7 linked regions of the Rattus norvegicus genome follow. The protein of the gene in region 5 interacts with the protein of the main gene of each other region in a pairwise test. Links are inferred from orthologs where the notes say so. Each region holds a gene or a part of one and is shown on either strand. Other genes may lie near its edges. The genes, in order: Ppp1r18, Tead4, Usp2, Nfkbib, Vps52, Ddx6 and Golga1.

Region 1 (3,500 bases), about 2.0 Mb from region 5:
CGTCTAAACCTTTCCGTTGTCATCCAATCCTGAGTCAGGAGTGCCCATCTGACTTCATGATTGTTTGTTTTTAAATACCTCTGCCTCACAGCAGTGAAAGATAGAGACCCGAATTCTGCCTTACTTACCTCGTTGCCATGGCAAAGTCTCTTTTTTGGGGTGTGTGTGTGTGTGTGTGTGTGTGTGTGTGTGCTTATTTTTAAAGTCAAGGTCTCTATGTAGATCAGGCTAGCCCCAGACTGGTCACCTGATTCCATCTGAATGTCAGCTTTTACTCTCTTGTATTTCATGTGCATTGCTGTTTTTGCCTGGGTGAGGGTGTCTGAGCCTCTGGAACTGGCGTTGTAGACAGTTGTGAGTCGCCATGTGGGTGCTGAGAATTGAACCCAGGTCCTCTGGAAAGAGCAGCCAGTGCTCTTAACCACTGAGCCATCTCTCCAACTCCTCACCCCTTTCTTTTTTTTTGTTTTGTTTTTTTAAGATTTATTCATTTATTATATATAAGTACACACTGTAGCTGTCTTCAGATACCAGAAGAGGGCATCAGATCTCTTTACAGATGGTTGTGAGCCACCATGTGGTTGCTGGGAATTGAACTCAGGACCTCTGGAAGAGTAATCGGGTGCTCTTAACCGCTGAGCCATCTCTCCAGCCCACCCCTTTCTTTTTTTAGACAGAGTTTGATCTGCATGGAAGGCTAGCCTGGAATTTGGTGTAATCCTCCTGCCTCATCTTCTCTCTCTCTCTCTCTCTCTCTCTCTCTCAAAAATTATTTTTTTTCAAGTTTATTTATTTACTCTATATAAGTACACTGTTGCTGTCTTCAGACACACCAGAAGAGGACATCAGATCCCATTACAGATGGTTGTGAGCCACTATGTGGTTGCTGGGATTTGAACTCAGGACCTCTGGAAGAGCAGTCACTGCTCTTAACCGCTGAGCCATCTCTCCAGCCCTCTTGAACGCTGAAATCGCTGCCTCGAGGCACCACACCTGGGGTGCAGAGAGACACCTGACATAACACACTGTGAAGGTCAAAGGTTCCAGAGAGGCCTGGCTACAATCGCTCTCACAGCCCAGCCAGTGTTTTGCAAGCCTGTGTACGTGTACACTGCAAGTATGCCTGGAGCCTGCAGAGGTCCCGGAACTACAGTTACAGATGGTTGTGAGTGCTGGGAACTGAACACAGGTCCTCTGCAAGAGCAGCGAGTGCTCTTAACCACTGAGTCATCTTCCCAGCCTCTAAGTGTTGTTTTGAATGATGCCATTAGACGGAATAATCAAGATGTAAAGGAAAGCCGAACCCCAAATGGATGGAAGGGAAGGTCTGCGGGGCACCTAAGCCCAGCCCCGCTCCACTTGCCTCTGGTCTCTCAGCCCTCCCTGGATCCCCTAGTGATGAACTTGCCTCCTCTCCCCTCTCTTCCTACTCTCAGCTCAAGATCTCCTTTAGTGAGACAGCACTGGAGACCACATACCAATACCCTTCCGAGAGCTCGGTACTGGAGGATCTAGGCCCGGAGCCTGAGGCCCCCACTGCCCCCTTAGCAACGCAGCCTGACGATGACGAGGAGGAGGAAGAGGAGGAGTTGCTTCTGCAGCCCGGGCTCCAGGGCGGGCTGTGCACCAAGGCCCTAATCGTGGGTAAGCGGCTGCGGCGTGGTTGGCGTAGGGCGCCCCCTGGTGTTCATGGCTTTGTGGTACTTTGAAGGAGCTTGGTCCAATTTGCTACATCTGCTGATTCCTGAAAGCCAGCACACTTGGAGTCTCCAGATTTCAAAACCAGAGCTCGCTCGTTATCCAGATCTCTAATCTGGTTAAAAATACCCGTGTTGGGTCAGGCGGCATGGAGTCAGAATTCCAGCTCGTCTGTTACTTAGTTGTGATCCTGAATCAATCCGAGCTCGGTTTCCGTTTACCTTATGTGTGGCGTGCGCGCCTGCACTCCCAGATCCCAGAGCATGCTAGGCGGGTGCTCTGCCGCCGATCGGTATCCCCAGTTTTCATTTATCATCCTTTAAAATAAAGTTAACAGTTGTGTGCTGGGCCTCCGGGTGTGTAGCTCAGCGATAAGATTGCTGCCTTGAGCTGAGAAAAGTGACTCATGCCTGTAATCCTATCACTAAAGCGGGGGTAGATCCGCCTAGTCTACACAGTGAGTTCCAGGGCACCCTGGACTATTACAGATCGAGACCCCATCTGAAACGAACAAACAAAAAGGTTGTGTACCCCGCCTTAATTGATAATAGCAAGTACTTTTTTTTTTTTTTTTTTTTTTTTTTTTGGTTCTTTTTTTCGGAGCTGGGGACCGAACCCAGGGCCTTGCGCTTCCTAGGCAAGCGCTCTACCACTGAGCTAAATCCCCAACCCCAAGCAAGTACTTCTTGAAGTTGTTTGAAGACTTGAGTAGATTTTTGTAAAGCACCTAGGTATACATAGCTAGGTATTAAATTACTTCACCTTTGCTGAGACGATTGTGAAATTAAACAAGATGCTCAGCACAGAATCCAGTTAACCGTGATGATGACCACTGTTCCACAGCCAACATGTTACAAAGACTTCTCTTATACCAGCCACTCTTCGGTTCTGGGGATGCGTGGGGAGGCGGAGGCCCTCTCCGCTTCTCTGGATTGATTACCTCTTTTCCTGCAGATGAGTCCTGCCGGCGGTGACCATCTTCGAGTTTGGGCATATACCTCTCTCCTTCTCGCACCTGAAGATTCTGGAGCTTGGATGATTCAGAGCCGACAGACATGGCAGTGAGCCCGCCTGGCAGGGAAGGGCGACAAGCGAGCGAATTCGGACTTGCTTTTCCCATCCTGTTCCTGGGGCGGAGCCGGTAGCCTAAATTGACCCCTAACCCAAAGTTCCCGGTGGGCGGAGCATCCTCGGTGAGCTAAGAGTGAGCATCAAGTCCTGGGTTGGAATTCAGAATTTATCTGGAATTGAGATGGAGCACCTCCAGCCTCACAGCCTTCCTTAAAGCTCAGCCACTCTCCGGGGATCCCGCTCCATCCACGAACACCCCCTTTTCTAGGTCACTACCCCTTTGTTTACAGCTTCCCTCTTGATCACAGCCTGGTTTACATACCCACTAGCTCCCAATCCCACCTGCAGAGTCCCAGGTTTACAAGCCATGCCTACCCGCGGAGCCCCTGTGGGATCCTCCACCTTCCCTTTGTTTCATTGTGAGTGACTTGGGAAGGTGTGTAACCTTCTTCAGCTTTGCTCAGTATTACTGTGCCTCGGTTTCCCCCAAGAGGGCAGGCTGGGGATCCTAATCCTGAACCCCATGAAAATTATTTAATTCTGTTCCTCCACGTGGTTCACATTGAATTGAATTGCAGTGTGGGGGGCGCTCAGGAGGCGCCTCGCTTCTCCCCATTGCTCCTTGGTCAGCTGCCTGGTTTGTTTCGTTTTTTGTAACTTTCCGTAATAAAATGGAGCTCTTTTCAACTCTCTTGCTGTCTTCCTTTTCTTTGTTTCTTCTTCTTTTTTTT
Region 2 (3,500 bases), on a different chromosome or scaffold from region 5:
TAGTGGAGGGTGGGGGAGGGGCGGGGTTGGGAGGAAAGGCCACTAGAATAAGAGGAGAAATAAGAGATGGGGGATTAGCCTGAGAGAACAGAAGCCAGGAAGGCTTGAGGTCGAGATATACAGAATGCAAGGGAAAGAACGGAGTAAAGAAGTGGGGGGTGGGGGAAGGTAATGACACACAGGACAGTGAGGGGAGAAGAAAGAACGAGGACTCTATTAAAACCTAAGGGAGAGGGGAAAGAAAGGGAAGGAAGCCAGAGGAGGTAGGGAGGGTGGAAGGTGAGGTCTTCCGTGGGGGGAGAACTTCCAGGGTTGAGAATTCATTTAATAAGGTGTGTATTAGGGGACCTACTATGTGGGCAGGGTCTCCATTGACAGGGGCATATACATAGCAGCAGAGAGACAGAAGCTGCAGGATTCTAGGCCTTTCTTTAAGGACAAGGCCTATGGAATTGGTGACTTATTCTGAGCCTGCAAGACCAGGGCGTCACAATGGTGACAGTACCCCTGGGATTAAGATGGTCTCTCTTGGGAGTTTGACAGTTGGACATGGTGGGGACTTACTGTGTCAGGATCTTGCTGGCGCTCCAGGAAAGCGGAGAACTCCAACATCCAGAGCTTGGAGCTGGCTATGCTGCGGCCTTGCCATGGAGGAGCTGGCGGTGCAGAGGGTGATGGGGTGGGTCCTACAGGAGACTCAAAGCCTACATGAAGGGAGAGTAACACATGGAGCCTGCCCCTCCTTGTTCTCCCTGCTTGTATTATCAGTGGCAGGGCAGAGCCTGTGCTTGATCCAGATCAGTGGACCAGGCCCATGCTCAAGGCTGACAGATTCTCAACAGCCCAGGCTGCCTGAAAGCAGTTAGGGCAGGCAGGATTCTTGCCCTAGGGTGATTTCTAGTCCAGGTAGGAAGACAGCCAGCTGAAGCAAACAGCACAGTAACTCAGAGGCCCTGGAAGCGGGATCCATTTCCTGGAGAGCATTGGTTTCTAAGAAATGAATGCAGATCTAGGCTAGTGTTGATGAAGTGTGCCCCCAGCACCACAGAAGACTTCTCGATGCCCCTGAGGCCAACCAATCAGGAAGATGAGGCTTAAAGAAGGTGTGAGGTAGCAGGGCAGTGGTAGCCCGCACCTTTGATCCCAGCCCTCAGGAGGCAGAGGCAGGCAGATCTCTGTGAGTTCAAAGCCAGCCTGGTCTACAGAGCTGAAAGAGAGACAGTGGGGAGTAGGGGCCAGTGGGGGATGGGAGGGATGAGGGTCGAGATGGGGGAGGGGGGGTGCTCCAAGCTGGGAACCAGCAAAGGCAAATGTGGAGGCCTGGGAGCCAGCTGAGGGAATCTGGAAAGCCACCCTTTAAACAGCTTTTTGGATTGTGGGAAATAAGGCTCTGTAGTGGGGCAGGGTTGCTGGGGAACAGGATGGATTCTATTCCCAAGTCAAGGAAAGCCACTGGCTGAGTTAAACTTTGGCTGAGAAACGGACGGCTTTGCAAATTTTTCCCCCTGGTAATACGAGGAATGGAACCCTGCCTGGAGCAAGCACTTCGAACCAAAAAATTTCCTGAAAAGCAGCTGTGTCTGGCTGGGAACAAAAAACTCCTGGAGGGAGTTTCTGTGTCTTCACAGACGGACAGGCCAACTGGGGCGTCAGAACAGTGGAGAGACGGGAATTTCACGTCTCAGAGGCTAATGACTTTATTCAGGGCTAGTTGTGGTCTTCTTGAACAGCCATTCCTTACCCCGCTCTGTATCTGAACTAACACCACATGATAGTAATTAGAAACCTCTCAGAAGTTATTAACTTAGCAGAGCACTAGTTTCTGCCATTCCGAGAGCTAAGAGTGTCAGCCCAGAGCATTTTAGACCTATAGAATATCTCCCTGAATCTTGTTGTACCTGCATACGCTGGTGGATCCACCAGAGTAGTTCAAGGTTGTCTTGATTCATGACTTTCTTTGTTCAGTAAAAAAAATCTAAAACCCTGTGAACCCGTTTCCACGTTGGAACATGGAATTTGGGGTAACCTAAATCTGTGTTCCCAGGCCATGGTCTCTCATAACGGCTCCAGCATAAACCATCCTTTATTCCATTTAGGATGGGAGCTGTGGTTTTGATGCTGTTAGCACTCCAAGCAAGCCTGCCATTGCTGGGCAGATTTTCATTCCTTCATTGTGACGGAAGGGTGGCACAGAGGGAGACACAGTAGATTCATGACCCACGCTCTCCTTCTGGGAGTCTGATGACCTCTAGCACCCTAGGCAGAAGCAGTGGGCACAGCACAGTGTAAACAAAAGAAGGAAGATCCCACAAGGATACTCAGATACATGTGTCCGAGTACAAGCAGAAATGGGAGTGATGAACACTTCTGTTAGACAGAGGTCCACAGAGCCCTGGCTGGGCAAGCAGTGGGCGCCTAACCTGGGTGGCGACAGGTGAGAGGATCCAAGGCCCAGGAGGAGCAGTCTAGCCACAGCCCAGAGGCAGAGCAGGGAGCACAGTGGACAGGACCAGGGAGCAGAGTAAGCTGAGTCTCAGGAGTCCAGCAGATCTACTGCAGAGCTCAGAGCTCACCGTTAAGGAACGATGGGGCCGGGAAGCATCTTAAGGCCAGAAATAGCATGTCGAGAGATGCTTTGGGAATCACGGGGACCAGTGAAGAGGCGACTGCAGTAATCTGGGCAAGAGTTAGGTGGATCTGAGTGCAGACTGCATCAACATGGACAGAGGAGAGAGAACAGGAAAGAGGACAGGGATATGAGGACTGGACCCAACTCAGAGATGCTCCGTATAGGGGTGAAGGAAGCAGTGAGTGGGCACCACGAGTGCCAGGAAAGCCTGAGGGGCCACAACCAGAGTGGCACAGCTGGTCACCCTTCCAGGAAGGCTGAAAACCGTGGCCTGGACTGCAGTGTGGAAAGGGTGAGGAAACCTCCTGAGAAGGTAAGGGCTGAAGCCTGGGGAAGGGCACAAACCAGCAAGCTGCTTAGGTATCAATGTACACTCCAGGCATCAGCGTCTCCTGTGCTAGGGAAGGGTTAGGCTCAGAATCCAGTGCCCCACAGCTCCCAACTGAGAAGCAGTAGGTAGCATTCCAAGGGGAAAGCCCGAAGAGCTAGCAGCACATGTGCCCTAAGAGAGTGACCTGGGCACACGAGCACCTCCTTCCAGTTCTGTGTCCCAGCCAGCCCTGTGCACAACAGGCAAGCATCTGGCGTCACCCCGGAACACCACGGGACACCCATGAGGCATGGCCGCAGCATGCCAGCTAGAGGCAAGAAACGTGGTAGAGCCAGAAAACTGGGATGCATGATCTGAACACGTGACAGCATGACATCTAGCAGTGATAGGAACAGGACTGGGGTATTGGGGACCTGGGCCCTGAGGCAGGAGGCAGAGGGTGTGACATAGGGAATCTACCTACCTGGCAGAGGCAGCGGAGGCTGGACAGCGTAGGTGTTTTGAGAGAAAGGTTTCACACTGCAGGAGAAAGGAGAAAGA
Region 3 (3,500 bases), on a different chromosome or scaffold from region 5:
GTCCTCTGAGGAAGGGTTTTATTATTTTTAACATGTGTCTGTGCTGTGTGTGTCTGGTGGCCAATGGCAGTGAACCCCTGTTCTCTGCAACAGCAGTGGGAGCTCGTAACTGCTGAGCCATCTGCTCAGTGCCAAACCCTTTTTGGAAACGGGGTCTCCCATAATCAACGCTGACTTCCAACTTTCTAAGTAGCTGAGGATGACCTTGAAATCCTGACCTCCTCAGTATCTGGTTACAGTCATGTGCCATCATACCTATTTCTGACAGTCTGGGAAAGGGCAGCACACACACGTGTATGGTGGAGCTCTTGGCCCCGGCTTTTCCGTCCATTCAAGATGGAAGCCCTGTGAGGTGGGCTGTCCAGGAGCCCTGCCAGAATCCCATCTCACCTGGAGTCATTGAAAGTGTGCCATTCGCCCGTAACCGGACTTCGGCAGTAGGCTGTATAGTGACCTCCCATGGTGGTTCCGGAGTGATTGGACACAGCATACAGGTTGTAAACAGCATGGTCTGAGGCGGTAACACAGGTGTTAGGCATTCCTGCCCCAACATCCCTTCCCTTCCGCCCTTTTATTTCCCAATCTTTCCCCTGCCTTAAAACCATAGCTTCTACTAAGAGAGAAAAAAATTGGTTTATTTCCTCAGAGCGTATGTGTGTGTGTAGTGTGTAGGTCACAGGGACACCTTGACAGAGTCAATTCTCTCTCTGTGTGGGTTTTGGATCCATCTCAGGCCATCAGTACTTTACCTGCTCACATCCTCAATCTCTTGACCTTTTCCTAACTCTCTTGCTTCCTGCCCCTTTTCCTCCCGCCTTCCTTCTTCCGTCCTGCCCAAGTATACTCACTGGTGTTTTCTGAAGCAAATTCTCTCAAGTCCAGGTCTCTTAGTGGGAAATTCACAAATGTTGTGAGCTTGCTGGTTCGTATCCTGGATTCTGAGAACCGCTTCAGGTCTGTGATTGCTCTGAGTCAAGGACAGGAAGCATGAAGAGACTCCTTGGAGAAGCAGCTCTTCTCAGGAAGCAGGATCGCAAACAAAGAAGTCTATCGAGTTTTTTTTTTCCTTATGCTGCTTCCCTCCCCTTTTGGTCCCTTGTCATCAGTCACCCCAAAAAGTCAGCTCCCCACCCTGGGGGTTAAGGATACGGAGCACCAAGATCTTTGGGAACCTCTGGACAGAGAACTTCTTTATACATCGTTTTCTGGCCCGGCAGCGGCAGCATGTCTGAAAGACAAGACAAACAAGGATAGAAAGAGCTTAAAGCCTGAGGCGGTGAGACTTGTGGCCCTTCCCCACAAGGGGTACTTCTGTCACTGTGGAGTGACTTACTGGTTTCTCATCCCCATCCAACACATCCTCTTTGGTGAAGAGCCTCATACAATCCATTAACGTCACTTCAGGATAGCCTCTCTGCAAGGAAAAGATCCAGGTTAGTGGTCACAGCCTCACTCAGCCTGGAGAGAGGCTGGCGCAGGGCTACAGCTGAGCGTACCTTTGCAATGGGCAACGAGAGGTCCCAGAAGGGATCGAACACTGTAGAGCAGTAGCCGCAGTCGGTGCACGTCAGGGAGCTCTTTAGCTGCCCAACGAAGAGATCTGGGGAGAGGAAGCCAGGGCATGCTGAACATGTGAATGCCTGTCTTTCCCCACCCACTCTGGCCTTAGGTTTGAGAGCCACTGGCAGAAGCAGGGTCCCCTGGGATAAATGATCCCCACAGCTTCTCAAGCAAAAGCGGGTGAAGAAGCAGATGTTTTCTGTTCAGTATACTTACCCCCAATCCGACTGTCTTCCCTTTCTAGATACTTCCTCCACATCTGTCGCCCTTTCTCTTCATCACTGGGAACCACAGACAGGAAGACAGCTAGGTCAGAACTCAAGCCCTGGGAGGCTTACGGGGCTACCATCTAGCATCTTCGTATATTTACATGTATGACTTCTGTGGTGCTGGGCATGGAATCCCTGGCCTTGCTCCTGTTCACACAACCCTCCCAAGCTGCAAATCCTGAGTCGAGGTTCACCTGAGCCAGGATTAACCCAGGCTGCTCTCAAGTTCATCATCCTTCCTACCTCAGGCTATCTATCTATCTATCTATCTATCTATCTATCTATCTATCTATCTATCTATCTATCTATCTATCTATCTATCTATCCAACACATGTACAATGCCCAAATAAAAAGTCTGGGCTTAAAAACAAAGCAGGGGGTTGGGGATTTAGCTCAGTGGTAGAGCGCTTGCCTAGCAAGCACAAGGCCCTGGGTTTGGTCTTCAGCTCCGGAAAAAAAAAACAAAAAAACAAAAACCAACAACAAAGCAAATCTGATTCTCCCCAAATCAGTACTTGAAGAGAAGTAGGTACAAATGCCAAGTTCACAGAGACGTCATAGCGGCAGCGCCTCTCTTACTTACGGGAGATGATCAAGGCTCTCAGGGCTGGGCTTAGGCCTTGCTGCCACCCGGTTCACCTCGTTGTGGAGGCCATCCAGAAGGAAACGGAGGAATTCCTGAGCATCCTGCTGACTGAACCCAAACAGAGTGAATGAGTGGGTGAGCAGCACCCACCGGACCCCGCTTGTGCTACCACACACCTTGGGAGGACATGCATGTCAGGCCCTTACTTATAGCCAACGAAGCGTGGTGCATATCTCTGGATCTGGGTCTTGAACTCAGATGGGCTCACCACATCATTGGGGGATGACGTCCATATGGTCTGGATTAGTTTTGCAAACTCTGTTGGAAGGAGCCATTAAAGAGGGTGGAGAACAGGTGAGAGAGGTCCTCTGTGTGGCACTGGCTGTCCTGTACTAGTTCTGTAGACCGTGTTGGCCTGGAATTCAGAGATCTGCCTGCCTCTGCTTTCCGAGTCCTGGGGTTAAAGTTGTGCATCACAACTACCCAGCTGAGATGTTTTCTTTTTTTAAAAAGTTATTTTAAATTGTGTTTGTGTGCATGTGCATGTGTAGGTGTATGTATATGCTTATGAGTGCCCAAAGGGGCCACAGGCGGGAGCTGGCTCTGGAAACCAAACTCTGGTCCTCTGTGAGCACACAGGCACTTTGGCAGTACATGCCTGTGATCTAGTTAAGGTAGGAACATCAGGCCAGCTTTGGCTACATGAGACTGTGTCTCAAAACCAACAAAACAGGTTGGGGATTTAGCTCAGTGGTAGAGCGCTTGCCTAGCAACCGCAAGGCCCTGGGTTCAGTCCCCAGCTCCAAAAAAAAAAAAAAAAAAAGTTAAAAAAAACCCCAACAAAACAGAAAAACAAAACCAAGACAACCAACTGAACCAAGCATCCCAAAGATCACCAACCAATGAACAAGTAAGAGGGAACACGGAAACGAGTCAGACATGATGTTGTACACCTTGATCCCAACGCCTGGGAGGCCAAAGCAGGAGAACCGCAGCTGTGGCTCCAACCATGCTTACACAGGAAGGCTGTGCTTCAACCACAGATTCTGACACTTGAGCCCCAACCAATAGGCAAAGAAAGAGA
Region 4 (4,216 bases), on a different chromosome or scaffold from region 5:
AGTTCCAGGGGCTCCAACAAGCACAAACACAGTCCACATACATGTACACAGGTAAAACAGTCATACGCATAAAGTAAATTATTTGGAAGGTAATGGCAAATGTATCTCTGAGTTCAAGGCCAGTTTGGTCTGCAGAAAGAGTTCTGGGACAGTCTGGGCTACACAGAGAAACCCTATCTCAAAACAAAAACAAAAACAAAAAACAACAACAACAAAAAACAAATAAAATAAAATAAACCAAAGACAAGTTTCATAGTGTGGACAGAATTTCTTAAAGGCAACACCTGTCGATAAAAAAAAGCCTATGGCCAATGAGCTGAGGGAGGAAACAGGTGGGACACTGCCAGGAAGAGAGAGAGAATTCTGGGAAATGGTGAGGAAAAAAGGGAGATGCAGGGAGAGGCACTGGAGGGGTCACTGAGACACTGAGAAAGACGACGCTAAGGAAGAGGCAGGCTGGAGACTGCAGGAAAGGTAACCACGTGGAAGACATAGGATAGTTTGAATGCGTTAAATAGGTTATAAGTTAGCCAGGGAATGAGCCAAAGCTTGTAGCCAAGGCATTTATTAATGAATAATTAGTGCCAGAGTCCTTGTTGGGAGCTAAATGGCTGAATCAATTATTTTTATTATTTTTTACAGTAGTGTTCAAGGCTAGCCTGGGCTACATAGTAAGACACTGACGAAAAAGGGGGTGGAGTGGGTGGCTGGGGAACTATTTTGTAAGTAAAGCACAGTGACCTTAGTTCAGAACCCACATAAAAAAAAGCTGGGTGTGGTTGTAAGTATTTATAATCCTAACACTAGGAGATCCCTGGAGTAGAGCACAGAGGCGCACACCTTTGGTCCCAGCACTCAGGACATAGAGGCAGATGGATCTTTATGAGTTTGAGGCCAGTCTGGTCTACATAGTGAGTTCCAGGTCAGCCACCCTGTCTCAAAGAGGAGGAGGAGGGTGGGGAGCAAGAGACAAGGTTCTCTCAGGCCAGCTAGTCTAGCCTATGTGGTTAGTGCGAACACACACACACACACACACACACACACACACACACACACACACACGCACATCCCTGAGCTGGATGTAGTGATACACACTTGGGAGGTGGACACAGGAGAATGAAAAGTTCAAAGCCATCCTCAGCTACAACCTGAAGGCTAGCATGGGCTACACAAGACTGTCAAAAACAAACAAGCAAAACAAAACAAAACAAAACAAAAAAAAAAAAAAAAAGAGGGGGGTTGGGGATTTAGCTCAGTGGTAGAGCGCTTGCCTAGGAAGCGCAAGGCCCTGGGTTCGGTCCCCAGCTCCGAAAAAAAGAACAAAAAAAAAAAAAAAAAGGATAAAGAAATTACAAAAATTAAATAACCAGAGGGAAACAATAAAGGAACAAGGGCCAATAAAGTAGAAAGTGAAAAATTAGAAAATTAAGGAAACTACTCCTGGCTCTTTAAGATGAGTGTTTATTGGGTTCCCCTCATGGGTCAGGCACTGAGTCACTGGGTATACGCAATGAGCACAAAGGACAAGAAAATCCCGGGTACACTCCCTTACACACACTGTCACCACAGCCATCCCTTCTCCCCAGTTTATCTACTAATCAACATTTCCTGCTCCACACCCCCCCCCCAGGCTCCCTCTCCTCCTTTTCCTTATCCCTCCTTTTTGATACCGGTCTTCCCAGGCTCTCCTCAGACTAGCAATCCTCCTGCCTCAGCCCCTTAAGAGCTGGGATGACAAGTGTGTACCACCACATTCAGCTAAACTAAAACCAGGGATTGAAAGGTGGTAGTTAGGGAGAGACGTTTGGCTAACAGATGAATCCATCTTCATAGAATCGAGCTTCTAAATTTTATGTAGCTCTGGCTGGCCGGCATCTCAATCAGGTGGCCCCAAACTCACAGAGATCAACCTGCCTTTGCCTCCCAACTTCTGTGAGGCCCATGACACCCAGTAGCTCGGTTTCTCAATTGCAGGGTCAGTGCTGGATGTGTCAGCGTCGTAGACTCAGGGTCAAGAATTAATTTTGGAAATCAAAATCTGGCTTATACAAGAATAGCCAAAGACCAAAGACCACATCTGGAAGCAAGAGGTCAGAAGATGTGGGAACTAGAGTGGTCAGAAAGGTTCAGACCCGATTTGGGGATCGTAAGCTCAAATTTAAGAGTTCAGAAAAGTTGAGACACTTGACTGTGAGTGAAAACGGACTAGTCTCACAATTTAGTGATTGGTGGTTATGGGTCAGGAAGTCCAGCATCAGAAATCAGAGTTAGGAACGAGAAGATAAGAAGCCACAGAAATCATAGGCTAATGGAGACTCAGGTAAGATCCCTAGGGTAAATTGGTAATTTAAGGTTTACTCACGTGTCCCCATCCTCAGTGACGTAGCCAAAGACTAAGGGCGCCCAAGACAGCTCTGGGCTAAGCTCTGCGACCAGACCTGGTCCTCCGGGAGCTGCTGCGTCGGGACCTAGAGAGCCCAGGCCACTGTCGCACCATTCATCGGCGTCTGCAGTTTTCCCCAAGCACGCGACCCCGGCCATTGCCCCTGCCACCTCGGGTGGCCCCCTGCGGTCGCCTGCCTGACGCTGGGTTCTGCCGAGAGCTCCAGCGCTTCCGCCCTATTGGGAATTCCCCAACACGCCCCCTCATATACCCAATCAAACTGTGTTAAATAGCCACACCCCGCCTCTGTACTGCACCAGAACCAATCAGAATAATGAGATGGACATTCGCTCGCTGAGTTTCCCCAGATTTTCCAGACGCCCTTTATTAATATGGCCGCCGGCGCCAAGCCTTTTGGGATTTGTAGTTTGATAACGTGAGGGGAGCACCGTATGAAAGCGGTTACGGGACCGCGTTGCCTGTCGGGAGTTGTATTTTTCTATCCTCTCTCGGCTCCTTCTTGTTTCCGCTGCCGTCACGGGACAGAGCAGTCGGTGACAGTCCCGAGAGCCCCCACCCCGTTCCCATGGCCGAGCCGGACCGTGAGTTAGGGGCCCTGGTGGGAGGGTGGGAGGGTCGGGCCGCGCCGGGGCCTGGCTTTGGGCTGCAGGCCCCGGGGCCCGCGGGCAGGTCGGTGGGGTGGGAGACAGAGGCTGCCTGAAGGGAGTGGGATTCGGAGGGCTGTTGCTAAGTGGTCGATATTGCTAGGTTGGTGGGTTTCTGGATTGTGAAATTTAAGGGTCCATTTGCAAAGTTTTGAATGATCGCGTTTCTCGCACTTTGGTTGCTGAGGACCCTCGTTGCTAAGGACCAAAGTTACCACGATCCCGGTTGCTAAGGTTGCCTGTTGTTAAGGGCAACTATAGTATGTTTGGGGACCCCTGCGGCCCCTTTCTATCTCATTCCTTCAGTTCTTGTGCCTCTCCTAAACCTCCCACCTTCACTGCATCTCCTCTCCCACACTCAACTCTCAGCAGAAGTATCCCTACTTAACATCTCTTGAAAAACTTAGCCCTCCCTCATTCTCCTGGCTCGCACTCGCTACCTTATCCTGCTTAACTCTGAAACCTTCCTTCAGTCCCGTTTCACCTGCTTTTTCCTCCCAAACCTTCCCCTCCTCACACATTCCTCCACTCTAAAACATGCCTTTCCCCATCTCCAATAGTTTTACTACCATCCATGACTCCAGGATAATTAGGTTGGTGGGTCCTATTGTCGCCTCCACCACTGTGAACCCTTCATCTGCTTAACTATTTCCCCCCACTGTAACCACGTCTGCTCCCCCTCCTCCCCAGCCTCTGACCCTCTGGAGAACCAGGCAGGGAAGGTGCAGGAGGCTCAGGTGAGATGGGGAAAAGGGTGGAGGGAAGGAGAGAAATGGACGTGGTTCCACATGCCGCACTGGGGGAGGTGCAAGGGAAGGCTTTTACCCAAGGGCCCTTGGCTTATGGCCCTGATCCCTAAACCCATCTGGGGATTAGTACAGCTCCTGGGAGAATGGCGGCTTCTGGGGACTGTCAAGGAAAATGTATAGCCTCAACCCCTGGTTCCCTTCCATATTGTCCTCATCTCCTATTGTTGCCCCGCCTATCCTCAATCCCTTCTGAACCTCATTTGTGCTAGACCTGGAAAAGACAGTGTTCCAGTTTGATCCCCAAACTCAGGGAGTATGGGGTTGGGGAAAGGACCCTCTAGGGCTCATAAAAGTACTGAAGCTGGCTGTGGTGTCAGCTACCTGTAATCCCAGCACAGCTGGGGGCAGTGTTGGGGAAG
Region 5 (3,500 bases):
AGAGGCACGGCCGCCTGTGCAGACGTCAGAGGCGTGCTCGACCGGCTCCGGGTCAAGGTGGGGAGCGGCTGCTTACAGTCAGCTTCCCAAGAGCTCCACATTGCTTCCCGCTATGTAGTGTCAGTGTCAGTCCTCCCCTGAAAATCAAAGGAGGCTTGCAGTGTGGCTCCATTGGTAAAGCACACAACCCTAGGTTCCATCCCCAGTGCCTCCTGCGTTGGCAGGATGGCACGAGTCTGTCGTCCTAGCACTCAGGAGGTGAAGAAGAAACGGAGTCTGGGGCCAGGCCCCAGATACATGAGTGAGACGCCATCTCAGAACAAGCAGTGCTTGCACTGGCAGTGCGGGTACTAAAATTAGAACAACACAGAGAAGATTAGCATGGCCCCTGTGGGATAACATGAAATTTATAAAGCCTTCCATATTTAAACAAAACAAAAAGCCCTGAAAAAATAAGGCCAGCATGGCGATGCACTCACCCCCAGCATTCAGGAGGCAGAGGCAGGCAGACCTCTGTGAGTCCCCGGCCAGCAAGGGCTGCTCAGAGAGACCCTGTTTCCATAACCAGAGCACTAATGAAGTATTCTTCCCTTACCTTTATTTTCTCCTGTGTCCCCTCTCTCACTTCCCACCTCACGGCCTGTCTGTACCCCACATCCAGGCGGTGACAAAGATCCGTGAGTTCATTCTCCAGAAGATTTACTCGTTCCGAAAGCCGATGACCAACTATCAGATCCCCCAGACGGCCCTGCTGAAGTACAGGTGGCCCCCCCGGGATGGGCACAGGGTGACCATGAGCGAGCCTCTCAGCCTCCAGCGTGGGCATCCAGGGTGTCTGACTCACCCCGGTCCTTCCAGGTTTTTCTATCAGTTTCTGCTGGGCAACGAGCGTGCTACAGCCAAGGAGGTCAGGGATGAGTACGTAGAGACGCTGAGCAAGATCTACCTGTCATACTACCGCTCGTACGTGGGGCGGCTCATGAAAGTGCAGGTGGGCCAGGCCAGAGACGGGGGGAGGGGGGAGGCTGGGGGGGCTGGGGGGGATGTGGAGAGTGATGGCTCAGCTCTCTGTTGTTTTCTCTAGTACGAGGAAGTTGCTGAGAAAGACGATCTAATGGGTGTAGAAGACACAGCAAAGAAAGATATCCTTTAGAGGGGAGCCTCACACCGGGCTCACGGCGGGGACGTCCAGCTCCAGCATGCAGAGCTATCTTCTTTTCCTTCCTTCCATTTCTTTTTCTTTTTCTTTTTCTTTCTTTCTTTTTTTTTTTTTTTTTATAAGTACACTGTAGCTGTCTTCAGACGCACCAGAAGAGGGCATTGGATCCCATTACAGATGGTTGTGAGCCACCATGTGGTTGCTGGGAATTGAACTCAGGACCTCTGGAAGAGCAGTCAGTGCTCTTAACAGTCCAGGGCTGTGTTTTTTTTACCTGTTCTGTGTTCACACCTTTGAGGATGTGAAAGCCAGAGCTTCCTCTCTAAGAAGCACATGCCATTCTGACAGTTTTTCACATTTATTTCAGAGGGTTTGGGAAGCCTCGACAGCCATTATCAGTGTCAGGAGAAGCAAGGCTCTGGTTCTGGAAAAGGCCTTCCAGGCCTTATTTAGCTTCTTGGGATCCTCAGGCCTTGGCTTGTTGGGCCTAGTGCTGTCCATCTCGTTTTTTTCCCTGACGCGGATGTGGCTCACGATTCTTCTCGAAGCCGTCCCTGCGAAGCAGGAACACCATCTTTACCCTGGGCACCCGTGGTGCTGTCATCTCACCGGCCGAGCTCGAGGCCCCCATCCTGGTGCCCCATACTGCCCAGCGTGGAGAGCAGAGGGTATGGCGAGGCGATCCCTACATGGCCTGGGATCAGTTCCCTACCTACGTGTTAGTTTGGGGGTCCCTGACCCGCTGTGATGCGGGAGGGTTAGGAGCCATGGAGAGCCTTGCAGAGGGAGACTGGCTGTGGGTGTGACTGTTAGGGGGCAACAGTTGCAGTGGGTGTAGGGGCAGCAGCAGCCCCTGGGGAGGGCTTTTCTTGTGACCTGTGTCCCCTCTTCAGTGCCTGTATGGGGTGCTCCTCCCTGCCTGGAAGTTGGGTATGTGGTCTTGTGAGCTCGCATTCCTAAGCTGTGCTGAGTCTCCATACCCACGGGGTCGGTGTGAGACCCATCCATGTGTCTCTCTGACCTGTAGTATCCGTTTGAAGCCCGTCCGTGTGTCTCTCTGTCTCGGTAGTATCCATTTGAAGCCCGTCCATGTGTGTCTCTGTCTTGGTAGTACCCGTTTGAAGCCCATCCGTGTGTCTCTCTGTCTCGGTAGTACCCGTTTGAAGCACTCTTCCGCAGCCAGCACTATGCCCTCCTTGACAATTCTTGCCGTGAATATCTCTTCATCTGTGAATTTTTCGTCGTCTCTGGCCCGGCTGCCCATGACCTGTTCCACGCCGTCATGGGCCGCACGCTGTCCATGACGCTGGTGAGCTTCTGACTTCTGTGCCTTTGCCCTCTGTCCTCAGAGCTCAGCAGCAGCCAGTGGGGTCACAAGTGCCTTGTCCCCAAAGAATTGTACGTGTTTGCCTACAGCCACTCGAACAACAGCTAACGTTCAGTTGTCTGCCTGTTGCTGTGCCACAGAAACACCTGGAGTCCTACCTGGCCGACTGCTACGACGCCATTGCTGTTTTTCTCTGTATCCACATCGTTCTCCGGTTCCGCAACATAGCAGCAAAGAGGGACGTCCCTGCCCTGGACAGGTCACTGAGCTCCCGTCCTTGGTGCATGGAGGCGGTCAGCTTTTTTTTTTTTTTTTGGTTCTTTTTTTCGGAGCTGGGGACCGAACCCAGGGCCTTGTGCTTCCTAGGCAAGCGCTCTACCACTGAGCTAAATCCCCAACCCCAGCGGTCAGCTTTTTATCTAACACAACTCCACCCTGACTCTTCCTCACCCTTATTCCCTCCCATCCGTGTGTCCCAGGGGCAGCATTGGTGTCGGGCACACCCACTCGCTCACCCATGGGCAGCCAGCACCCCTAGCCAGCTGACCTTTGACTCTGATTAAGCCTGCAGATACTGGGAGCAGGTGCTGGCCCTGCTGTGGCCTCGATTTGAGCTCATCCTGGAGATGAATGTGCAGAGCGTCCGCAGCACTGACCCCCAGCGCCTCGGGGGGCTGGACACCCGGCCCCACTATGTAAGGGCAGGCGAGGGAACGAGGGGCGGGCAGTCATACTAACTGGTAGGCTGGGTCAGCTTGGGCAGACAACTCCTGTCCTGACTGGGGCAGGAGCTGCAGAGGCAGCTGGGGTTATATGTGACAGGCAGGCAGGTGTGAGCCTCCCTTTCTTGCTCCGAGATCACACGCCGCTACGCCGAGTTCTCCTCCGCGCTTGTCAGCATCAACCAGACCATCCCCAATGAGCGCACGCTGCAGCTGCTGGGACAGCTACAGGTGGGACAGCTGCAGATGGGACAGCTGGAGGTGGGGACAGCTGCAGATGGGACAGTTGCAG
Region 6 (3,500 bases), on a different chromosome or scaffold from region 5:
CGCACACCGAAGCACCAATGCTGCCAGGCTAACTGTACACAGCACTGCTACATCCCAGACACACATGAGTAGTTTTTGTTCATTTTTAAGGCAGAGTCTCACTGTGTAGTTCTGATTGGCCTGAAACTTGCAGCTCTCAAACTCAAGACAGACATCTGACTCTACATCCCAGGTAAAACATTTGGCTTCAGATCAGTAATTTTTTAAAAGGCATTGATACTAGGTTATAAACTAAAGAAGTAACAAATTTCATAAAAAACACAAAGAACCAACCAATATTAGGAAGCAAATGCAAAACAAAGGGTTAAGAGAGATCCCTTACAAGCTTTTAAAATGTAACACTAAGTAGAAAGATTTAAACTGAGCTTGGCTTGGTTATTTGTTATCATACATATCCAGTTCAAGGTTTGCTTTATTCAGTGAAAATTATAAGCAAAGCTAGAGGAGTACTGAAGAGTCCTTTCAAATGAACAAACATTACCTCATCCAATACTATCATCTGGACATGATCAACCTTTGCTACTCCTTTCTTGATAAGATCCAGGATTCTGCCAGGGGTAGCAATCACCACATGCACTAAAAAGATTCCCAGAGAAAAAAAAACTTCAGAAAACATATACATTCTTGTTAATTTAATCTAGGATAAAGAAACACATTAATTTTATAAGACGTATTTAGTATCATAAATACTGTTTATAGAGACCCAAATTAATACAAAAAGGCACAAAGATGAACTGTGGGCCGTGTATTTCTGTCTCTTCTCACAAGAGCTCCACAATACTTGTCTCGTCTCTTCAGTGAGTGGGCCAGCTTCCCAAACCACAAACTCCAACTGAGGGACTCACAACTCCCATCTTACAGCCATCTGCAAGAAGTAACAGCCAGAACGCAGGGGAGACGTGTGTTCAATCTGGGCCAGGCTGCTCAGACTGGTTTTTTTCTTTTTTTTCAGAGCTGGGGACCCAACCCAGGCCTAGCAAGCGCTCTACCACTGAGCTAAATCCCCAACCCCACAGACTGTTTTAAGGGGGAAAAAAAGACTGATCACTAAAAACAAAATTGTGCAAGTTAAAAAATAGAGCTCAGGGGCTGGAGAGATGGCTCAGTGGTTAAGGGCACTGACTGTTCTTCCAGAGGTCCTGAGTTCAATCCCCAGCAACCACATGGTGGCTCATAACCATCTGTAATGAGATTGGATGCCCTCTTCTGGTGTGTCTGAAGACAGCTACAGTGTATTTATATATAATAAATAAATACATCTTTAAAAACAAAAAACAAAACAAAACCATATTTTAGTGCCAGACAGTGGTAGCACATGCTTTTTATCCCAGCACTTGGGAGGCAGAGGCAGGTTCCCAAAGCCAGCCTGGTTCACAAAGCAAATTCTAAGACAGCCAGGGCTACTCAGAGAAACCCAGTCTCAAAAAACAAAACAAACAAAACAGACCAAAGTTTTAATTATTTCCTAAAAGGGAACCCTTGGAGACTGGAGAAAAGACTTAATGGTTAAGAGCTCATCTCGTAGGGGCTGGGGATTTAGCTCAGTGGTAGAGCGCTTACCTAGGAAGCGCAAGGCCCTGGGTTAGGTCCCCAGCTCCGGAAAAAAAAAAAAAAAAAGAGCTCATCTCGTGCTGCTCCTGCAGAGAATTCAAGTTCAATCCCCAGCACCTACGTTGTGGTGCACAGCTGCCTATAACTCTAGCCTCAGGGGATCCACACCCTCACCCAGGCACTTGCACACAGGTGTGCATAACCACATACCCCACCTCTACATAATTACAAATAAGTCTGAAAAAGAAATAAGGAGGCATCTGTAGCTACAATCAGACAGCCTTGTGGCCTTAATAATCTCCTACCTGTATCGTCAAGCCTCATTATGTCATCCCGTAAATTGGTTCCTCCAGTGGTCGCCATCACTTTGGCCCCTCCCATGTGTTTGCTGACCTGGATGCAAATTTGACTGACCTGTAGAGCAAGTTCTCTAGTGGGAACAATCACCATTGCTAAAAAATATCAAAGAACAAAGGAGTGAGGGAAGAGAGAACATGCTATCTTTTAGAAGTTCAAGAAGCTATAAAAACAGTTTCACTGAGGCAGTTCACCTAACACACGGGCATAACAGACATAACACACCAGTCTTAAAGGATGCATGTGCTTGACAGAAGGGTCACTACTCTCTCAGAGTCACTAAATACTAAGCAGTCAACGCGTGCTGCTTAGGTTCTATGCTCATCAATGAGAGGAGAGAGATTTATAAATGGAAAACTGGAAAATTTAAGAAAAACTTTAGAGGCAAAACCTTAATTGTATGAACTGACTCCAGATACAACTATAGAACTTTGCTTCTTTTCTACTCTCTAAGCTGTTAATTTTTCCCCCAACTCTAGCTGTGGCTTACATGGGGGCCAGGCCCTTGCCAGTGACAGGCCGCTTCCCCATAGTCCTGATTTACTCTGCCTCTGGAGTTCTCCTGGTAGGCTCGGCTGACCAAGACATTTACTACACAGAGGAGGAACTCTGAGCTCTTAAAATTTGATAAACTCAAGGGTTTACAGACAGAAGCATTTACTGTTTCTACAAAGAGCTCTGCTTACACAGTTCCCACAAGGGAATTCAGGTGCATAGGCTGGAGGTAAGCAGTGACTCATTTAGCCTCTCATCAGTTTGGCTTTAAAGAAAGCTTACTTTGCTTATCTCACACGAACCCTTTTTCAACTGTTTTATCAATCATAAAAAAAAAGTACTCTGAAGTTGAGAAATTCCCTTTAAAAGCTGGGGAAAAATTTTTTAAACAATTAAGCCAAATATAGCAAGAAGACAGTAGATTAAATGAATTCTGACCAAGATTAAAACCTACAAAGCTCCAAGTACAGACAGTCTTCCCTGCAGCCCCTCCCCTCTATTCAGCTAACCTTGAATATTGTCCTTCTTCAGGTCCAGCCGTTCAAGTAAGGGGATGAGGTAGGCACCGCTTTTGCCTGTTCCATTTTTTGCTCTAGCTAAGATATCCCTACCAGATAAAGCAATGGGAATGCTCTCCTCCTAAAAGACAAGGTGATGCAAAACTACATGTAAATACAATGTTACCAGATTCTTTTCCAAGTTACACCGAAGAATACCACCCACCTTGGTACTCCTTTGAAGTGTAGTATGTATGTATCTTGCATGAATGGCAAAGACCCAAGTGGATTAGCAGGACCAGTAAGCATTAATACCATTTTGAACTAAAAGTTTGTTAAAACTGTTAACAGAAAAACATTAGCTGAATAGCAGCGTAACAGAAAAGTTAGTGAGCTGGGTGTTGGTGTGGTGATACACATCTTTAACCAGGTAAATTAGAGTTCAAGGCCAGCCTGGTCTTGGTAGCCAGGACTACTAGAGAAAAGACCCTGCCTCAAATAAATAAAAGTGCATGTACTAGAGAAAAGAATCTCAAAGGGTTAAACAGTCCTCAAACAAAGACATTTTTGTTAGAAATAGAAAATGGCCACATAGTAAAT
Region 7 (3,500 bases), on a different chromosome or scaffold from region 5:
ATGTACTCATATATAATAAATGAATAAATCTTTAAAAAAAAAGAAATTTAAGAATATTAAGAAAGCTAAATGTCCTTAAAAAAAAAAAGAAAATGAAATTTACATAAAATTCTCAGACACAATACAGGGCACTCAAGTCCTTTACTCTTCTGTGTCTCCAAGGAACACTGCTGTTACTTCTTGAGAGTGGGCAGCTAGGATCTACTGAGTTGGGTCACATGGCTGATCTTTAGACATTAATTTACTGAACGTCTTGGGCAGTAAGACCAAGAGTATTTGGTAATTGTCTGCACTCTTGCTTGATTTTCTAATATGTATTATGCCCTCTGGTGTGTGACAAAGGAGAGGGGATATTTGACTCCTCATTCACAAAACAAAATTCAAGGGAAATAACACTGGTACAAAAGGTCCAATCATATTAGCTGTAAAACAGTATGTACTATTTTTTGATTTTTTTTTTATATTTCTATACATTCACACACCATAGTTATCTGTTGAATACTAGTAGATGATGCTTTTATATTTATACTTCAAAACAAGCCAAGCATTTATCTACAGGATTATCACTATGAAACACTGACGTTTACCCTAATTTAAAACACTACTAACTATATCAAATATAACATACCCCACAGTTACTGTGATATTATTTTCCCTTTTACATGTTTTGTTTTGTAGTAACTAATTTATGTTTTTGGAGACAGGGTTTCATATAGACTGGGCTAGCCTTGAATACCTGATCCTCCTGTATCAACCCAAGTGTTGAGATTGAAAGCATGCACCACACCTGGCTTATTTTTCCTTTTATTGCCATTCATGTAGCACCTTGCCATTGCTGTTTCTATGGGGATCAAAAGTTCCCTTCTGTCTATACCTGATTTTGGAGAAAGGGTCAGAAGGGCTATGTGAACTGCTGTGAGTAATGACCAGTAATTATATTGGAACAGGTAGGTGCTTGGAGGTGTAGGGTTGAGGACAACTTTTTAGAGGGTGAGATCTTTTTTCTTATTTGTAGGTTCACTAGTAGATTATGGATACACCACTTTCCATTTCTATTTTACAAAGATACATAGAGAGAATAACTCTCTCACATTCTGGACACATTTCGTGATTAAACTGTCAAGTCTGATTTCCTAAGAAAAGGCCAAATGAATCCTTAAAGAACATAAATTCCTTTTCTTCTAGGTCAGAAAGACTTTTATCAGGTCTGTGTCATGATTTTTAAATTGGGTCCCTAAGTGAAATCTTTTCTTAGCCTTGGGCAGTACCACATTTAAATACCTGGTCCTTCCTGGCTAATGCCAAAGCCAGTCCTTCTGCCATTTTGGCTCTGTTGGCTTGGAATGTTTCATTCTGTTCTTGAAATTTCCGCATGGAAGCTGTTAACAAAAGGCTCTATTTGAGATATGGAAATACTTCAGAAACAGCATGATGAACAGCTCATGTGAGCAGTTTACAAATGTCACTAAATGGAACAAGGAAGGTCACAGACATAGATTATGACCCCGTGAAAAACTCAAATTTCTATGACCTTTCTGCCCTGGTAAGGGTCTGGGTCCTTCCTTTTGCTTTCTATAATAGTAAAGATATCAAACAGTAGCTTTTTGAGTGGTATCATGACAAACACTTAAGGTAGGTAGGCAGAAAACACCAAGGCTTCTGTGACGTGACCTCTTCACCAGAATTGAAAAATGAAATAAAAATCAAAGCCAGTAACAACAACAACAAAGTTTTATTTAGTTTTCTTCTGACCTCCTGTAGCACACTTTTCTTGGATGACAATACACAAGGAAAACATGAGTTGGGATAGGTAGGTCAATTTAACAAAATGTATGTCCATTTTATTGTTGATATAGTGATGTCAGAGCTGCTTTATAGTCAATATAACAATATGTTATGAAACTATGTTGAAAATATTCTCCTAGGTTAGACCCAAGGGCCAGGTACTAGATTGTACGAAAACCTAAGGGCAATCAGTAAGTGGGTCAACTAGATAAAGACAAGTACAGACGATCCTCTCTAAAGTAGTATATCTACAAGACAACACAAATGTGTTTACACTTGCTAACTTTCAGTCAAATGTCACATCAATCTTATTAAAAACAGTATAAAATAGAGATATGAGTTCTGATGAATATATATAACAATATATTAATTCATTTAAAATGCTAAAGCCTAAAAAAGATTAAAGAAAGCAGAAAAAAAAAATACGTACAATCCTGGTGTTTTTCTAATGCAATTTCAAGCTTCTCTTTTATCTTCTGCAAGTTTCGGACCTGTTCAGCATAGTCTTGGGTGAGGAGGGTGATGCACATACCAGGAGTGGACAAACATCAGGAAAGGAAGTTAATTAAACAAACAAACAAATAAACAAACAAAAAAAGTGAATGAAAATGATGATGATTTTCTTAACCTGAAAACCAGTCCTGTTAAGAAAAGCTAGGTAGAAAGCCTCCCATTAACAATGAATGACACAGGCAAATGGGAATATTACAAACTTTCCATGGTATAAACAGTGAGTACAAACAGGTAGATTTGTTTAGCTTTGACAGAAAACAACAATTAGGCTAGGCCTGGTCATCAGAAATGCCCTGGTATAAAAAACCCACCATCATCTCCATTCTTCTGTTCTAAGTCTCAGTGTTCCTTTGGTGGTTGGAATAAGAATGGACATAGACACATATATTTGAACATTTTGTCGTCAGGAAGTTGGACTATTTGAAAGGATTATAAGGATTAGGAGGTAGGACCTTATTGGAAGTATATCACAAGGGGTGGGCTTGAGATTTCAAAAGCCAGGTGGAGTGAGTGAGTGAGTGAGTGAGTCAGTCTGTCTGTCTGTCTCCCTCTGCCTATGGATAAGAATGTAACTCTCAGCTACTGCTCCAGCAACTGCCTGCATGCTACCATACTCCCAGCTATGATGATAATGAACTAAATTTCTGGAACTGTAAGGAAGCCCCCAATTAAGTGTTTTCTTTTATAATAGTTGCTTTGGTCATGCTTCTCTACATACCAATAGAACAATGACTTAAGACAGTTCCCATTCCCTGTGGCCCTTAGCAGTATGGCAGATCAAGGGTAATCACGAAAAGCTCACTTGCAACCATACAAGTGAACAGCAGTGGTTAGGTAAATAGCAAACACCTTAGCATAGAACTGCCTTTATGGTGTAGGTGCTTAATCTCTAGATTGGTGTAGGTGTTCCCTTTCTATATAGGAAATGAGTGGTACATAGGTTACCTCAAAGGTGAAAGAATTATCTGGGGTGCCAAAGAAAACAGTATGCTATAATATAAAAGTAGAGAGTAGTTAAAATCTCAACTTTGCCAGTTCGTAGCCAAGAATCTTAAGTAAATTGTGGATCCAGAATATTACTTATTTTAACTGGTATTAATAACATCTATTTCTCTCTCTTTTGGGGACAGGGTTTCTCTGTGTAGCCCTGGCTGTCCTGTAACTTCCTCTGTAGACCAGGTTGACTTCAAACTCAGAGATCC

Evidence for each region.
Region 1: the proteins of Vps52 (region 5) and Ppp1r18 interact in binary tests that used the Homo sapiens proteins (3 or more experiments, as listed by UniProt). The two-hybrid records come from large-scale screens. The link is inferred for Rattus norvegicus from reciprocal best matches to the Homo sapiens genes VPS52 and PPP1R18.
Region 2: the proteins of Vps52 (region 5) and Tead4 interact in binary tests that used the Homo sapiens proteins (3 or more experiments, as listed by UniProt). The two-hybrid records come from large-scale screens. The link is inferred for Rattus norvegicus from reciprocal best matches to the Homo sapiens genes VPS52 and TEAD4.
Region 3: the proteins of Vps52 (region 5) and Usp2 interact in binary tests that used the Homo sapiens proteins (3 or more experiments, as listed by UniProt). The two-hybrid records come from large-scale screens. The link is inferred for Rattus norvegicus from reciprocal best matches to the Homo sapiens genes VPS52 and USP2.
Region 4: the proteins of Vps52 (region 5) and Nfkbib interact in binary tests that used the Homo sapiens proteins (3 or more experiments, as listed by UniProt). The two-hybrid records come from large-scale screens. The link is inferred for Rattus norvegicus from reciprocal best matches to the Homo sapiens genes VPS52 and NFKBIB.
Region 6: the proteins of Vps52 (region 5) and Ddx6 interact in binary tests that used the Homo sapiens proteins (3 or more experiments, as listed by UniProt). The two-hybrid records come from large-scale screens. The link is inferred for Rattus norvegicus from reciprocal best matches to the Homo sapiens genes VPS52 and DDX6.
Region 7: the proteins of Vps52 (region 5) and Golga1 interact in binary tests that used the Homo sapiens proteins (3 or more experiments, as listed by UniProt). The two-hybrid records come from large-scale screens. The link is inferred for Rattus norvegicus from reciprocal best matches to the Homo sapiens genes VPS52 and GOLGA1.

What each region holds. Positions count from the first base shown.
Region 1 is NC_086038.1:2,882,330-2,885,829, reverse strand, and holds the end of Ppp1r18 (phostensin), read left to right. Parts: intron 1-1,436; coding exon 1,437-1,644; intron 1,645-2,652; coding exon 2,653-2,672; 3' UTR 2,673-3,460; downstream 3,461-3,500.
Region 2 is NC_086022.1:163,199,343-163,202,842, forward strand, and holds part of Tead4 (TEA domain transcription factor 4), read right to left. Parts: intron 3,480-3,500; coding exon 3,424-3,479; intron 705-3,423; coding exon 565-704; intron 1-564. UniProt on the Homo sapiens protein: Transcription factor which plays a key role in the Hippo signaling pathway, a pathway involved in organ size control and tumor suppression by restricting proliferation and promoting apoptosis.
Region 3 is NC_086026.1:53,331,370-53,334,869, reverse strand, and holds part of Usp2 (ubiquitin carboxyl-terminal hydrolase 2), read right to left. Parts: intron 2,735-3,500; coding exon 2,623-2,734; intron 2,525-2,622; coding exon 2,414-2,524; intron 1,842-2,413; coding exon 1,777-1,841; intron 1,601-1,776; coding exon 1,497-1,600; intron 1,415-1,496; coding exon 1,334-1,414; intron 1,229-1,333; coding exon 1,150-1,228; intron 957-1,149; coding exon 849-956; intron 512-848; coding exon 391-511; intron 1-390. UniProt on the Homo sapiens protein: Hydrolase that deubiquitinates polyubiquitinated target proteins such as MDM2, MDM4 and CCND1. Isoform 1 and isoform 4 possess both ubiquitin-specific peptidase and isopeptidase activities.
Region 4 is NC_086019.1:93,178,588-93,182,803, forward strand, and holds the start of Nfkbib (NF-kappa-B inhibitor beta), read right to left. Parts: upstream 2,801-4,216; 5' UTR 2,542-2,800; coding exon 2,363-2,541; intron 1-2,362. Other genes in the region: Sirt2 (NAD-dependent protein deacetylase sirtuin-2), read left to right, coding at 2,970-2,985, 3,739-3,785. UniProt on the Homo sapiens protein: Inhibits NF-kappa-B by complexing with and trapping it in the cytoplasm.
Region 5 is NC_086038.1:4,926,959-4,930,458, reverse strand, and holds part of Vps52 (vacuolar protein sorting-associated protein 52 homolog), read left to right. Parts: coding exon 1-57; intron 58-332; exon of another isoform or gene 333-429; intron 430-661; coding exon 662-762; intron 763-858; coding exon 859-991; intron 992-1,084; coding exon 1,085-1,142; intron 1,143-1,693; coding exon 1,694-1,827; intron 1,828-2,270; coding exon of another isoform or gene 2,271-2,312; coding exon 2,313-2,468; intron 2,469-2,575; coding exon of another isoform or gene 2,576-2,626; coding exon 2,627-2,745; exon of another isoform or gene 2,746-2,779; intron 2,780-3,050; exon of another isoform or gene 3,051-3,057; coding exon 3,058-3,181; intron 3,182-3,343; coding exon 3,344-3,439; intron 3,440-3,500. UniProt on the Homo sapiens protein: Acts as a component of the GARP complex that is involved in retrograde transport from early and late endosomes to the trans-Golgi network (TGN).
Region 6 is NC_086026.1:53,845,749-53,849,248, reverse strand, and holds part of Ddx6 (probable ATP-dependent RNA helicase DDX6), read right to left. Parts: intron 3,043-3,500; coding exon 2,913-3,042; intron 2,004-2,912; coding exon 1,857-2,003; intron 577-1,856; coding exon 482-576; intron 1-481.
Region 7 is NC_086021.1:43,208,820-43,212,319, forward strand, and holds part of Golga1 (golgin subfamily A member 1), read right to left. Parts: intron 2,291-3,500; coding exon 2,216-2,290; intron 1,380-2,215; coding exon 1,282-1,379; intron 1-1,281. UniProt on the Homo sapiens protein: Involved in vesicular trafficking at the Golgi apparatus level. Involved in endosome-to-Golgi trafficking. Mechanistically, captures transport vesicles arriving from endosomes via the protein TBC1D23.